Notamacropus eugenii: one gene and its partner. The protein of the gene in region 2 purifies or fractionates together with the protein of the main gene of each other region. This does not show direct contact. Links are inferred from orthologs where the notes say so. Each region holds a gene or a part of one and is shown on either strand. Other genes may lie near its edges.

Region 1 (7,562 bases), on a different chromosome or scaffold from region 2:
ACATCAAAGTGAAATCCGCAATTTTTTTTGTTGAAGAGACTAATAAACTAAAACAGACCAATATTTAATCCATTAAGAATTTCTGCACTGTAATATGTTTTGATGTGTCCGGCTGACACGTTATTAAATATAAAACGCTCAATTATATTTGAGGTTTTATTTAATGGATTAGTATTAAAAAAATTATTGAATTAGCTTTTTTATCATCCTTGTTATTAGGTCTGTCTTACAGCAGGAACTACAGTGGCTGATAAAACACAGGTAGCGGAGCTCTCTTAAAGATCTTTCAAACAGCTTTCTCTGTTTCAAACAAATTTCCTTTGGAACTTCCAGATCCTCTACTCTTTTCACTTTTCCAAGAGAGAAGTGCCTGCTTCCCTCACCACAATGGCAAAGTACACTCAGTGTCCAAAAAGGTTAGTGCACAAGAAATACCAATTAAGAAAAACACATGACAAAAAATAAAAAATTATCTTTCATATTTTAAAAAATATAAAACTTCACTAGTCTGAGGGCTGTAAAAATCAGATACTTCAAAGTTCTTATGCAAAAAAAGTTTTTTCTAACTAGGACTTTCTACTTACATGATGAGATAAATTATATAAACTAGTTAAAATACATTAAAGTTTACAGAGTATCAAAAATTCAACTCACTAACTCCAAAATAAAAATGAGTACTTGTTTAAAACCAAGTCAAAGTGATTGCTGTGACACTGTGTAGACAGAGACTGAAACAGTAGCTATAGAAATGGAACTGAAAAGTCACTAAATATAAATCGTGGAGTTTGAACCAATATCGTCATTAACGTATCACAAATGACCCCTTTTCTCCTCCCATTCAAATATACTGTGGTCACAGCTATAACAGGGACAAATGAAGAAAAGGTGAAACATTTTAAAATACTAAAACCAACCCTTCACGGTCTTGACGTCTGCCCAACTATATTTGCCTCTTCAAAAACCGTATTTCATAACAAAATAAACAGCACAGAATGACTTATAAAGGCATGAAGCTCTTCTCCCTAAGAATAAAGACACAAATTGCCAGGGCTGGTCATATTTAGAATTTTATCTTAATTTGAAAGGAAATCAATTTACGAAAATGCCTTTTCATTCTGACCACCTGAAGCATGAAGCGTAATCAGCTTAACCATAAAACAAACCTCAGACAACTATCATTTTGCTAGAACGGGTTACATGAGAGGAAGACAGTGACATCTCCACCATATTTTGAGGGGCATTTTACCCTACTACTTTGTGAGTAGTTTTAAGTCACGTAATTAACTTGGTAAACAAAGACTTGCCTGATCCCATGAAACAAAACTTCAAATGTACGTATTTCACTTAGACTGAAAGCAGTCAATGGCAAAGGGCTCAGAGACCTCCCTAAAATATGAGGCAAGCTCACACACATGAAACCCAAGCCCTCAGCTTCGCCCCCACGGTATCGCTCAGAGCAAAGCCGCAGCCTTCACACCCCACTTCGGTCTGAGATGCAGAGAGGTGCGCAAGGCTGTCCACTCCGACCATTCAGTCAAACATCAGCTTTCCTCTGACGAACCGTGTGCGGTTCGGTACCATGACTTCGAGCCTGGGGAAGGCAAAGCTCCACGTTATCTCTGCATCGCCCAGGGTCTCTCCTTATTTGGCTAACACTGAGAGATCCCGATCGGACTCCACTATAAAACTTTAACATGCACAAAGCATCCATTTTGAGCAAAGTTCCCAGTTTCCTTCTCCCCACCTGGCCTCGAGACGTGCACCCCGAGACGATCTCCGACCCCCCCCCCCCACTCCAGAACAGTTCCATGTCACCGATGGGCGAGTTTCGCTACAGCCGGCCCTAGAGGGGAGAGCAGGGACGGAAGGTCCCAGGCACTGCGGCACAAAGCTCCGTAGCAGACTCCCCACTTCAACCTTCCGGCGGGGGATGGGGTGGGGGGAGCCCTTCACTGTCTCCCCCCCACCCCCTCCACGTCCAGCCCTACAAGGAGAAGTGCGGCGCCAGAGTCAGGGAGGGGGACCGGCAGGAAATCGCCCCGAGGCCCGCGGGGATCCGGTCCCCCAAGTCCCCGGGCGGCCCCCCTCCCCCACACAGTATTGGGGGGCAGAAGGGTTTCTGGGCACGTAGTAGGCGCTTCTGCAGCGCTCCCGCACCGACTACTCCCCCAGTCTCACAGATCCCTAAATGCCCCCCCTTTACACACCGACGAGGGATCTCCAAGCACGCTCGCCCTGCAGCTTACAAGGCAACACACAGTAGGCGCTTAATAAGTGCTGGAGGGCTCGGCCGGGCTGTCCACGTCGGCTGGCGAAGAGAAGAGGGATCCCCCAGCGCTGGCCCATCACCCCCTCTTTCCTCTCCACTCCCACGCCTCGGACCCACCCCGCGCCGTCCTTCCCGTCCGTCCTAGGTCTCTCCCCGGGGAGGTCGCAGGCCCGGGCAGGCGGGCCGGCCGGGGGGGAGGGGACGGGGCTCCGGGCCTCGGCGCTCGGACAGACCTGGTGCAGGGCAGTGAGTCCGTCCACATTGGCGTAGTTGATGTCGGCGCCGCGGTGCAGCAGCTCGAGCACCTCGTCCGTGTCCCCGCTGGAGCAGGCCGCCAGGAACACGGCGCCGTCGTCGAACTTCACCTTGGTCTTCTGGCGCTTCACCACGGGCGGCTCGAGGTCCGTCTCGGAGCCGATCCAGCGCTTCAGCTGCTCGTTCCGCTTCTGCTTCGCGTCCGCCATCTTCATCCCCCCCTCTCCGGCCGCCGGGTCTTCTTATCGCGAGGGGAGGAGGGAGGGAGGGAGGGGGGAGAGGTGGAGGGGGGGAGCGGGCGCGGGGGCGCGCGCCGGAGCGACGAGGAGGAGGAGGAGGAGGAGGAGGGTGTGGGGAGGCAGGGAGGAGACGGGAGGAGGAGACGACTTCCGGTCTCCCACAGAGCACTGGGGCGGCGCGCACCTGGCGGGCGGACCGAGCCGGGACACAAACACTCTTTCCCTCCCCGCCCCCGCCCCCGCCCCCGCCCCTCTCAGGGCAGGCCGCTACCCGTCACCAGCCGCCTCCCGTAGGGAGACATCGCGAGAGTTGAGCGGGGAGGCGCCCTTCGCCCACTGCGCATGCTCTGTCTGCCTGCCTCCCCACACGGAGGAGGAGGAGGAGGAGGAGGAAGAGAAGGGTAACCGCCGAGAGCGGGCGCGGTGGTTTTCGGAGGGGAAGAGGGTGGGGCCTCGAGAGCCTCCGGAACCGGAGGAAGGGAAGGGGCGGGGACTGTCTTTGTGGGCCAAGGTGGGGTCGGATTGACTGTGAGCCGTCGCCCGTCGGGGACTGTGCGGAGACATCTCAATCCAAGACCTGGGTCTGATGTCGGGAAGACGCAGGTTCGAATCCTGCCTCGGACCCTCCCTGACTGACCCTGGCCCACCCATCTAATCGGCCTCAGTTTCCTCGTCTGTAAAACGGGGATAATGCCCACTTTCGCGGGGGCAGGAAGGACAAAATAACCCAACCTTTCTGTGCCTCAGTTTCCCCATCTGTAAAATGGGGGTAATTAGAGCACCTCCCTCCCAGGATTGTTTTTCTGGATCAAATGAGCTAACGCAGGTAAAATAACTTTAAGGCAAATTAGAAATGCTAGCTAGCAGTTGTTCTTAGAGAAAGAAAGACCTGGGTGTTTTAATAACAGCCTCCCCAAGCCGTAAGGATCAGAAAAGTCCATTTTACATAAAGTACTTTGCAAACCTTTAATCGATATTTCAATTTTGGATGTTGTCATTCTTATAGTGGAAGACCTAGGCTCAGATACCATAGCTGACCATCCCTAACTGTGGGACCCTGGGCCAGTCATTTAACTTCACAGTTCCTCAGTTACCTCATCTGTAAAATGGGGGGGGGGGGGGAGCTGGATGACCTCTCAGGTTCCTTCCAGCTCCAAATCTGTGGTTACTGTGATCCCTCACTGTAACTATTTATAAAGCACATTTCAGTTTACAAGGTCATGCCTCTGTGATATATGGAGTGTATTTCAGAGGGATAGTCTCAGAGCTTGACTGTAATCCTGGTATTTATACTTCAAGGTCTATATAGGTGCTGGCATCCATGATCTCATTTGGTTCTAATGTAGCAAGCCTGTGCAGGATGTACAGGTATTATCCTTCCACTTTGCAGATGAGGAAACTGAGGCCCAGAGAGGTTAAAGTGACTTGACTTAGTCACACAGCTAGAAAGTATCAGAGGTGAGTCTCTGGAGTTGCTCATTTAGGGCCTTTTTTTTTCTTTTTTTTTTCCTAATACTATGCCTCCAACTTGAAGTAAAATATATTGTTCCTTCTCAACTTATCAGGGCATGATCAAGATTATTTGATCTAGAACTATAAGATCATTTAGAGGCCATCTAGTGCAACCTTCTCATTTAATAGATGAGTTAGGCCTAAGGAAATAAAGTCAATTGGCTAAGATTTCAGAGGTGAGATTAAAACCAGGGCTTTTGACTCCTCAGCCCAGTGGTCTGGCCACTGAAACAAATGAGGACTAGATGACGCCATGGGCCCCCGTATAGCTTTGTATCTATAGCTATCTCACCTATTTCAGTCAATCAGTAAACATTCATTAAGTGCTATGTGTCATGCATTGTGCTAAATAAGCACTGGTTTCAATTCCACAAGCATTTATTGAGAGGTATTGTACCTTGGTAGGTACAATAATTGGTACCTTGGTAGGTACAAGAACCTTAATTCTGAAAGACCTGGGTTCAACTTGTCCTCCTTTGACTTAACAGGCTCTTTTTACCCTAGGAAAGTCACAACCCTCAGTGCCCCTAGGCAACTTAAATTACTGAATTGATGCTGATTTACACTGGTAAGAGTTTCTTCTTCAGGAGAAATCACAAGTCCCACCCCACCAAAAACATTATGCCTTTTATTTACTTGACGTTGTGAACCCTACCCTCAAAGAGGGAGAAATATAGGTAATTAAAAACGGAGAACTGATACAAAACAAATAAAAAATTGGGCTGAGATTAACAATTGTGGGAGGTAATAATAAGGAAGTATTCACATTCTGAATAAACTTTCTAATGTAAGGCAGCAGGTAAGTCAAATAAAGGAAGCAACTAGGTGACTCAGCTGGGCCTAGAGTCTGGAAGACCTGTGTTCAAATCCAGCCTCATACTGGCTGTGTGACTTTGGGCAAGCCACTTAACCTCCCTTTGCCTTAGTCCGCTGGAGAAGAAAATGGCAAACCTCTCCAGTATCTTTGCCAGGAAAATCCCAAATGGGGTCAGGATGAATAGGACATAAGTGAACAAGGTTGGATAATCCTAAATCTCAAGTGCAGGTGCTTTGTCACTAGTAATACCCAGTAGTGGTCCTCTCCTAATCATGCTAGACCAGCGATAAAGAAGACTACTGAACCTTGACATAGGAAAATGCAAATTCCTATCTTGTCACTGAAACAGTAAGACCATGGAGCTATGACAATGAAGTGAGATAATGTGCGTAAAGCATTTTGAAATTATTATTTCTCCCCACTGCATTTTATAGACTCTCAGAGTTGGATCTGAGGGATAATTTTGTCTTATCCACATTTAAAATCCTTTATTTTTCTTGCATAATTAATATCATATATGGGTCTTTATGACATACAGAAACATGTACTTTATCTCATATGCAGTAGCATCATGTAGACCTGGGATCAACTCCAGCCTCTGATACACACTTTGTAATCCTGGGCAAATCACTGGACCTCTCAGTATTCTAGGCAACTCTCTGAGACTACAAGAGGCAGAGAAGGTAACAATGTGCTTGAGTCATGGGAACTTGCGCAGATGGGGAAAATGAGGCATGTGAGACACAGACTCTCCCAGAATCTGTCCCATGATCTTACGTGTAGAAAACTGCAGAACCAAGATTCTAATCCAGTTCTGAGTGTGGTATAGAGGAAAGCATGATGGATTTGGAGTCACAGGACTTGGGGTCTGCTCTCAGCTCTGCCACTTGTTCCATTTGTGACTTTAGGAAAGCCATTTAAACTCCCTGGACTTCAGTTTCCTCTTCTGCCAAATGAAGGGGTTAGATTCCAGCTTTCAAACTATGACTAGAAGCGCAGATCTAGTGTTCTTAGCACAGCACTGTTTTGTGCCCCCTTTATATGTTCCTTTGCTCTTTAAGTAACCTGGTGCAATTTGTTGCTGAAGTAACAAGTTTAAGGAGAATTCAGCGTCTTTTGTATGCCTCCACCACCTAGTAGGGCAATGTACATACTTAATATTACATATTTAATTTTAAAAAACTATGTTACTACAATAATACAAATCCTTAATCAAAATTTTTTCTCATGTTTAGAGTTAGCACCACAAAGCAGTAAAAGGGTCCCTAAAGGCCATGCCTAGGACATCTGCCATACCTTTGAAAGGTCTCAGCTCTCGATTATGGAAAGCAATTGGAAAAAATCCTTTCTTGTCAGCTACTGTTTTCTCCACCCCCCAAGAAACCCAATCAGAATAACCCAGAGAAGAACCAAGGGTCACCATTTAGCCTTAGATAGCTGTTTTCCAAGAATATTTGGGTCTATTTGATAGCTCTTATAAAAGCCTTGAAAAATAGCCCCAAATACCTGTTTTGGGAACAGAGACAAGATAAAGAGGTGGCCATGCCTTGTTTTTGACTGTTGCTACAAGATGTAAAATAATTCATAGTCGAGATGAAATACTTATACAATAGTAAGAGCACTACAGAAAGAACCAGAGGCTTAAGTTTGAGTCCTGCTTCCAGGTCCAACTTTTGAGTACAACTTCCTAGTAGTGTCATTGTGGTTTGTCACTTAGTCACTCAAAAAAAAATCATTCAGCCTTATTTTCCTCATCTATTAAATGGGATAATAATTCTTTTATATAGCTAGTAGTCTTGTAAGAAAAGTCATTTTCAAACTTTAAGGCCTTATAAATATGAGTAACAAAATATAAACTACAGTGAACCTACTTTTGAGGACTACCTGTCAAAAGACAACTGTGGACAATACATACACAGGTTTGGGTTTACCTAGATTTTTCTTTCTCTTAATCTCAGTTTCAGAATGTATTCCATGATAACCCAGTGTTAATACTGATGGAACCATAAGTTATTATTACTAAAAGAAATTTGCTTCATTAATACATAATACATTAAAAGATAGCTAATTCGACAGCGATGAAGAGAAAAAACTTAATTATGATTCCTTTATAGCACTTAGACCTGGAAAAGACCTTGAAAATTGCTACGTAGTTCAACTCTTTTTACAAATAGCTTGTTTGGGCCTTTGTTTCCTTAAGAAACTGCCCTAAATCACAGTTAGTATCAGAATCAGAATTAATCCCATGTCTTCATATTTCAAACACTTTATTGTATGGTACTGTATGCTTTTATGTAGCATGCCTAAGTTCTAGCCCAACTCTCTCAGTCCTCACCCAAATAGGTAGGTAAGTTCTCTAAACCAAGAATATTATTCCTTTCAGGGTTAAAATCCTGAAGAGTTGGAGGGTAATTTTTCTGTAATAATGTTTGTTCATGAGCCTTCATCCGGTAATTTCTCCCCAATATTA
Region 2 (7,965 bases):
CTTGACACAATTTCCAGCCCATCCACTAACTTCCTAGTCATATGGGATCTGAAGTCAGTAGTATTCTATACAGGGAACTCAGGCCATGTGTATGAGGGTGAGAGAAGAGGGTTAACACAGCAGGTCTAGGAGGAGGCAAGTGTCTCTAGGCTGGGGGCACAGGTCCTAGAGCTTCCTCCTGGGGAAGAACAGGAGGAAATGTCATCTAGATACCAGGAGTATTCTCAGGAGGCTGAAGGATCCAGTGCAAATATTTGCTTTCCCTTTGATGCCTTTCTGGAGTATCCATTAGTAATGTCCCTCCTTTCATCTGGCTTCTGATGATGCCTTCTCAAGCTGGTTGGGGGTAAGAGCAAAGTCACTGATCCTTATATTACCAACCCAACCCTAGGGCGGTGGAGACAGGGACCCCTCAGGACAGCCTTTCTTGGAAGGTAGCATAAATACCTGGGAATTGAATTTCAACAAATGCCAGGTTTAAAAAAATTATTTATTAAATATCTGTTGTGTTCAAGGCACTGGGTACAAAGATAGAAATGATACAGATCTCACTCTGAAGAAGTCTAACGTCTCTGCCATCACTATCTGGGTAACTTTGAACAAATTAGTTCACTTTTCTGGGCCTCAGTTTCTTCATCTGCAAAATGAGGAAGTTGAATTAGATGGTCTAAGGCTCCTTTCAGCTTTAAATCCTTGATGCTAACGGAAGGTAAAGACATGTAGACACGAAAATAACTGATTTCAGAAATGTAAGGGGTGCTAAGAGTCCCAGGCACAATAGTATCAGTCATTTCAACAGGGAATAGGGGAGGGAAATTAAGGAAGACTTCATGGAGGAGATACACAAAGCCTGGCATATAAAATTGTTTTGTTGTGTCTGACTCTGGTGACTCCATCTGGGGTTCCATTGGTAAAGATATCAGAGAATGTCGAAAATTGTCTTTCTATGTAATTGGAAAAAATAAAATACTATTTGTAGAAATGGAGTGGCTTGCCATTTCCTTCTCCAGCTTATTTTACAGATGAGGAAACTGAGGAAAACAGTTAAAAGATCTGCCGAGGGTCACACTGCTGGCAAGTGTCTAAGGCCAGATTTGAACTCAGGAAGTAAATCTTTTTGACACTAGGCCCAAAGTTCTAGCTACTTCACCACCTAGCTGCATATAGTAAACACTACCAAATATAAATTCTTGCTGACTGATTGAAGTGGTTGGCGCCAGAGTTGAAGAAAGTGCCCTTTTCTCCCCAGGGACTGAGTCGATGCCTTGTGAATTGAGAGTCTATCCATAGCTAGATAGCTTATTTTCAAGGTGGGAATATAGCTTTGGGTATGAAGTTTTGGTATCAATCCCCTAGAAAAACATCTGGTGGTGATCATTGGGAGGCAGCTATCCTAAATTCTCTAGAACAGAAGGCCTGGTACCCAGCACTGCTCATTAACTTCCAAATTCTGTTGCTGCTTAGTTCTCCCTTCTGAGGTCCTTGATACCTTGAGGATACACCTCTCTTTGGGGGTCAAGGAGAGGGAAAGGAGGCAGGGGCATGAGAAACTCATTTCAATCCAACAAGAGCAGACTAAAGGCTTAGACCAGGCAATCTCAAAACCCGGATCCTCCTCACCTGGCTCTCCTACTTCAGAAACAGGGAAAAGTTAAGTACAGTATTGCCCAACAGCTCCAAGCTGGCAGCCAGAATCTGGGGACAGTGCCAGGCATTAGAAGTGAAAACACACACAATTCTATTGATTGGTTCATAATCCATTCCCCAACTCCACCCATCCCCAGCCATCTCCTTCACCAATGAATGACTTTTTGCATTTCAAATCAGCAACTAAAAACAAAAGCAGCAAACACCAAGTAAAGGGTGGAGACTGGGGTCAGATCCAATATAGTAAACCTTGACCTTTAAGGACATTAAAAAAAGAAACAAACAAAAAAAAAAACCAACATAAAAAATCCCCACAACCTTCTCCTAATAGAATGCCTTCTTTAGGGGGTTTTGTACTTCCCACTCTAAATAACCACTGGCTTCTTTTTCAGATCCCAGGGACCTAGTTTGAGCTATGATGATCTCCTCTCTCCCCAAGCCTTAGAGGGGCATACTGAAGCCCTACTCTCAATGCTTCTAGAAACCAGTTTACACAAAGCAGACTCCTGCTTAACCCAATCCCCAGAAGTCCTCTGGCTCATCATCCACAGTCCCCAAAGGTCCTTTGCAATCTCTGCTTTTCTTTCTCCACGCAAAAGGGGGTGGGGGCAGGTTTGTCTTTAAATTGAGCCCGGATGGAAACCGAAAAGAGAAAAACCAAGAGACAATGGGATAATAGCATACTTTTCCCCAGAGGCAGCCAGCAACCCGCCTCTGCTGAGGGGCTGACAGGTGGATCTCAGGGATCAGAGATGTTCCCTAATAAAACACATCATTCCTCTCTACCATCCTTGAGAGAAAATATTCATAGGTACCTATGTAGGTACTTCAAGAATTCACTTCTCATCCCCCTTTCTCCTTGCTTATCGAATCTGAACTACCAGATGGTTGGATTTTTTTTTCCAAGAGGAAGTACACGGATGAGGAGGTCTCGCTCACCCTTTCACTGAAAGCTCTGGGTATCTAAATTGGGGCCAGGCTCCCTCGCTCCCTCGGTTCCCTTTCCCATCATTCAGGCTCTTCGAAAGCTGCATAGACTCCCCCCTCCCGGCCAAAGCCAAGTACTCGGGACTCACCAGTCTTCCCGATCGCTCTCTTGCTTTCTGCACCTTTCCGTAGGTCCCTTTGCCCAGGGTCTCCAGGAACTCATAGCGGTGCCGCAAATTGTGCTTGTGATGATGCCGCTTTACCGCCTGCTTCTTCATCAGGGGCTTGGGAGACTTGATGAGACCGTCTGCCAGAGGCAAGGCAAGCCCCACGGAAGGAGAGGAAGCCAGGCTGGAACGTTTGGGGAAAGTGAAAGCCTCCATGGAGAGAGGAAGGAGAAGCAGGAGACGCAGCTCAGAACCAAGGAGAAAAAGCAGCAGCAGCCGCCACCAGGAAAGCTCAGCTGCGCAGGGGCCCGGGGCACATGTGTAAGCTGCCTAGAGGCCGAGAACGAAACTTACAAATCGAGGAAACTGACGGAGACTCAATGTTCCAAGTTCCAATAAAAGTTACAAGCCCCCTGCAGTCTGGCCCCGCCTTCAACCGCCCATTGGTCAGATACCAGGCCGCACGTGACTCGGGACGTTACGATTGGCTCATCCCAGTCTTCGCCCCAGACTCCCTCCTCCCCTTTCAGCGTGTCTGCAAAAGGTGTCAATGAAGGTCCTGCCCTCTTGGCCTTCAGTAACCAGGGATGGAGAAAGGGAGGAGGGGGACGAAGGACTCTGACAGAGAGTGGAAGGGATTCTTTGGGGGGAAGTCATAAGAATGAGCTGAGGGTTGCTGGTTCTCGAGGGCTGCGGAATTTCCCAGCCATAGAGTTAAACCGCTCCGTTTGTGGCGCTCGGACAGGGTTCAACTCTCTCTATTTGGGATCTCATTGTAAGATTTTCCCTAGCGATGTAGGATGATGTCATGATGTCAGCAGCTCTGCTTCAGCTGCTCTAGGACTTTGTATGGGAGGACGTAGGCGAGAGGACGGGATATCAATCTTTTAAACCAGAGGTCATTAACCTTTTTTGTCATGGACCGCTTTGGCATTCTGATGAAGCCGGTTGCTCCCACTCTTTCTCTGAACAATTCTTTTGGGTGCACACAATAAAGTACGTAGGATTAGAAAGACATATTTTAAAATGCACACAAATTCTCAGATCCCAGATGAACCCTTATTTTAAATCCTTAGGACTATAGTCTCTGCCTCCTTCTTGAAGTCTGCCTTGATTCCCTCCGGCTAAAAGACACAAATTTTCAAAAAGCACCGTGGTGTGCCCCTTTCATTTGCTCCGATCACCTTTATCTTGTGCTATGCTTATCTGTGTATCTGTCATATTTCTCGTGTTTAACCCTAGTATATGGTGAACTCCTGAATGGTACTGCTGTTTCACCTTTGTATTGTTAGCCTCTGGCACATAGTAAGTGCTTAATAAATGTTAAATGTTGGTAAAGCCACTCTCATTTGCAGCCCTTGAAATGCTTACCTGCATTAGTGAGGAGTTTTTCTTATCTAGAAGTTCCTTATTATTAATGTAATCATAACCTAGTCCCCATCACTATTATTTGTACGTCCAGAGGTTTGCACATAGTATGTAGCATGTACTCAAGCACAGAGACTTGTTAATTGATGTATTGATCAAAACCCTCACATCATTAGTACCCTCTAATTGAAGCAGACATTTAGTTCTGTTGAGGATTCTTAACAATTCAAGAAACATCAGAGAAAAAAACTGACTGTGGGAAATGCTTTCTGAAGTAGGATGACTTTGGGACTCACCCTTTCCCCTGGAAATAACTACGTCACTGTATGTAGTTTGCATTTCTATAGCTCTGTATAGTTTGTAAAGCACAACCCTCACAACAGCTCTTTTAAATTGGTAGAATAGCAAAGGCAGAAAAGACCTCAAAGATAATCTAATCCAGGCACTTAATTTTTACAGATTAGGAAACTAAGGCCCCCCAAAGGTGAAGTGACTTTCATAGAAAAACAGAAGAAATGACAGAGATTATCTGATCCAATCCATACCCAAAGCATAAATCTTGTCTATAACATCCTTAAATGAGGCATCAATTGATTGGCCTCCACTTGAAAAACTCAAAAGTCTCGAGGATTCATTATAGATTGTGAAAAGAGGTAGCCCATTCCATTTTCAGATAACTGTAATTGTTAGAGTTCTCACTTAGATCAAGCTGAGATGGTCACATGTCATTTCTGGCAGTAGAAAGACTAGAACTCAGTTTTCTAGACTCCCAGCCTAGTGAGTACTTCTTCCACTGGGCCAAGTTCTCTATTCAGGTGTCTCTAGGAGTGAGGGAAGAGAGGGAGACAGACAGAGAGAGAGAGAGAGAGAGAGAAGACAGAGAGACAGAGAGAGAGAGAGAGAGAGAGAGAGAAGACAGAGAGTCAGAGAGAGAGAGAGAGAGAGGAGACAGAGAGTCAGAGAGAGAGAGAGAGAGAGGAGAGGAGACAGAGAGTCAGAGAGAGAATGGGAGAGAGACGTAGGGAAGGAGGAAAAGAGAGTGAATAATAGGATAAATAGGAAAGCAAAATGAAGGCTCAGGGAAGAGAGAGAAAAGTTCTTCTATGTCCAGTCTCTGTTGTCCTTTCTATTTTCTGAGTCTGAAGGGATGAAGCTAGGTCGCACAATTTATGTTGTTATCGAGTTTAGCCCACACCTGATGCAAAGGTTTGTTTCTATACAGACTCAATCATTTCATCCAGTAGACAAAAAAGAACTCCACAGATATCTCCCATTCCTGCTAACCTTGCATCTGGTGGGGGCAGGGCAGAGATTGGGATGGGAGGCATCGATCTCTAGTCTATTTCCTCACAGGGATCCCCCTCACCCCCTTTCCCCAGACAACCACAGTCCTCTAGATGGATTCCAGCAGCTGCTGGTGGAAGCCCAAGATGACATCTCCAGCTGACATTTCCAGGAACCATGAGGGCCTATGAACAGGTTAGTGGGGGGTGGGGGTGGGGGTGTGCTTTCAGGGTAAGGGTTATAGGAAGACCAGGTTCCTAAAGGGGTCCTCCCCTGATTCCCGTGAGTATCAGTCTTCTTTCCTGTTCCCAAGCTCCTTTTACAGAAGTAGAAATGTCTCCTACAGAAATGGAAATAACCCAGGATTCAGGAATTAGAAAAGCTGTCTGACCTTAGACAAGTCACTTATTTCAGTTCCCCTTGCTCAATTGAGGTGTTAACACCTACATTACTTCCCTCTCTGGTTTGTAGGGAGGAAAACATTTTTTAAACCACAGAGTCATTGATATGGTTATTGGTTGTAGAAACCAGGGCCAGGGTTAGCCTTGTCAGCTCCATGGCTTTTGAAGGAGCCACCATGAGCAGAAATGAGGGGATCCTGGTACCTCAGGTACCATTTTGTAGTCAGATGCTCTTGTTGCTCTTACGATAGAGGGAAGAGAAGACAGCCTGCCCCAGAGCAGGCCTGGGAGGCAATTCAGTCTCAGACTCCCTCTGCCCCCTCCACTGAGAGACAGGATAAAGCCTTCAACCATTTTACCAGTGGGAACGTGGACCAGGTAGGTGAACCAGTATATAGAGCCATAGACTTGGCATCAGCAAGACCTGTGATCAAATTCTGCCTCAACTACTTACTAGCTCTGTGACTCTGGGCTAGTCACTTAACATCCTTCAGCCTCAGTCTCCTCATCTGTAAAATGCAGGTTGAAATTGATGACCTCCAGGAATGTGCTGGAGTCACTTGGAGAGCCAGGAGCTTGACAGTCAATGGTCAAATTCTCTCTCTGTCTCTCTCTCTCTCTCTCTCTTTCATTTGGGGTTAAGTGACTTGCCCAAGATCACACAGTTACTAAGCATCTGAGGCCAAATTTGAACTCAGGTCCTCCTGATTCAAGGGCTGGGGCTCTAATCTGTCCTACACCTAGCTGCCTCTGGTTAAATTTTCAATTTCAGCATTTATACCTCAGAAATTTGCAGAAGGTACTAATCTGGGCTTGATTTATTGTTTTGTTGATCATCTAGATTTAAGAAAGTGATTAAAAATAGTAATAATTCAGATTAAACTCAGAAGTGTCATGCATACAGTTATTCATTTGTTTTTGAGATTAAGTATTTTATGAGTATGCCCCTCATGGCCACTAAGGTCCCCTCTAGCTCTAAATCTATGTTCCTATGATCCCTGAGTTTAGCAAACCATCAAGATGGTTTAGGAAGGCAATATGATACTGAGGAAGGCACAGTAGCCAAAGAGGACCAGGGGTTCCAATCCCAGTTTTGCTCTGACCTACCTAGAACTGCTGGTCTTTTCCTGACCTTGATTTCACTCTATCTGTTAGGAGTCATTACCCCCCACACCCGCCCCCATACCCTGGAGGAATTGAGTAAGCCCCTTTCCTCTCTAGGGACTCCAAAACAGGATTTGAAATTCTTTAGATGAAGTAGCTAACTTGTCTAGGTAAGAATTCTCAGGGAATTTGACCAGTGTTGAGAACTCTTTATCCCCTATGGTCCTTTGATCTGGCCACCTTGATGTGGTTCACCATTTCTTTATCATTACTTGCAAAGTGGCATCAACCCACTGATCCTATCACTGGTCTGGAATTTTTAAGGTTCCTTAAAGCGCTAAACTTTAGCTGTTTCTAAACTTCACTGTTCTGTAAGGTCTCCATTCCCATTCCTTTGCCTCCACCAGTTATGACCTTCTACAATTTATAGGACTGCAGATTTGAGGATGATGAATCTTATCAGTCAGATCGAGGTGTGAGTAGTGTACTGGCTTCTATTAATTCTGCCCTAGTCCAGGGAACTCACCTCCCCCATTCCAGCTTTCCATTAAAAACCAAAGGTTCTTAAGGTGGGGAAGAGGCTTAGATAGATTTCAATCAGTGATTCAAGTCCATGAACTTGGATGGGAAAATGATATACTTATTTCAATATGATTGGTTTCCGTTGTAACGCTATACATTTTATTTTATGCATTTAAAAACATTATTCTGAGAAGGGGTCAGTAGGCTTCACTCACCAAACTATCAAAGGGTAGTTTAAGTTCTGGTTTAAACAATATTCAATCACTGGACTACCTCTTGGGACCTATGACTTGCCCATAAGGCAAATCAGAGTATCTTGATGATTCCTGTCTAAGCCTTATCTGTTTATCGCAGGCCCATGAAGGAAATGAACATTAGTGTTTAGACCAAGGTGGGTGTCTTTGGCCTGGCAAGCAGTCTATATAAGTCATGCCCAGGAGGCAGACAGAAGAGCCAAGAACAGCAAGTAAATGATGTTAATCTCTGAAACACAACTCTTCCCTCCAACCAACAGTCCATCCCCACCCCCACCCCAAAGGGAAACT

Evidence for each region.
Region 1: the proteins of NUAK2 (region 2) and PPP1R12A purify together in Homo sapiens (affinity purification with mass spectrometry; 3 studies listed by BioGRID and IntAct, counting the BioPlex papers as one, with this or other methods). This does not show direct contact. The link is inferred for Notamacropus eugenii from reciprocal best matches to the Homo sapiens genes NUAK2 and PPP1R12A.

The regions. Positions count from the first base shown.
Region 1 is NC_092874.1:259,791,126-259,798,687, forward strand, and holds the start of PPP1R12A (protein phosphatase 1 regulatory subunit 12A), read right to left. Parts: upstream 3,016-7,562; 5' UTR 2,740-3,015; coding exon 2,503-2,739; intron 2,359-2,502; exon of another isoform or gene 2,208-2,358; intron 1-2,207. UniProt on the Homo sapiens protein: Key regulator of protein phosphatase 1C (PPP1C). Mediates binding to myosin. As part of the PPP1C complex, involved in dephosphorylation of PLK1. Capable of inhibiting HIF1AN-dependent suppression of HIF1A activity.
Region 2 is NC_092873.1:434,279,789-434,287,753, reverse strand, and holds the start of NUAK2 (NUAK family SNF1-like kinase 2), read right to left. Parts: upstream 3,139-7,965; 5' UTR 2,958-3,138; coding exon 2,724-2,957; intron 1-2,723. UniProt on the Homo sapiens protein: Stress-activated kinase involved in tolerance to glucose starvation. Induces cell-cell detachment by increasing F-actin conversion to G-actin. Expression is induced by CD95 or TNF-alpha, via NF-kappa-B.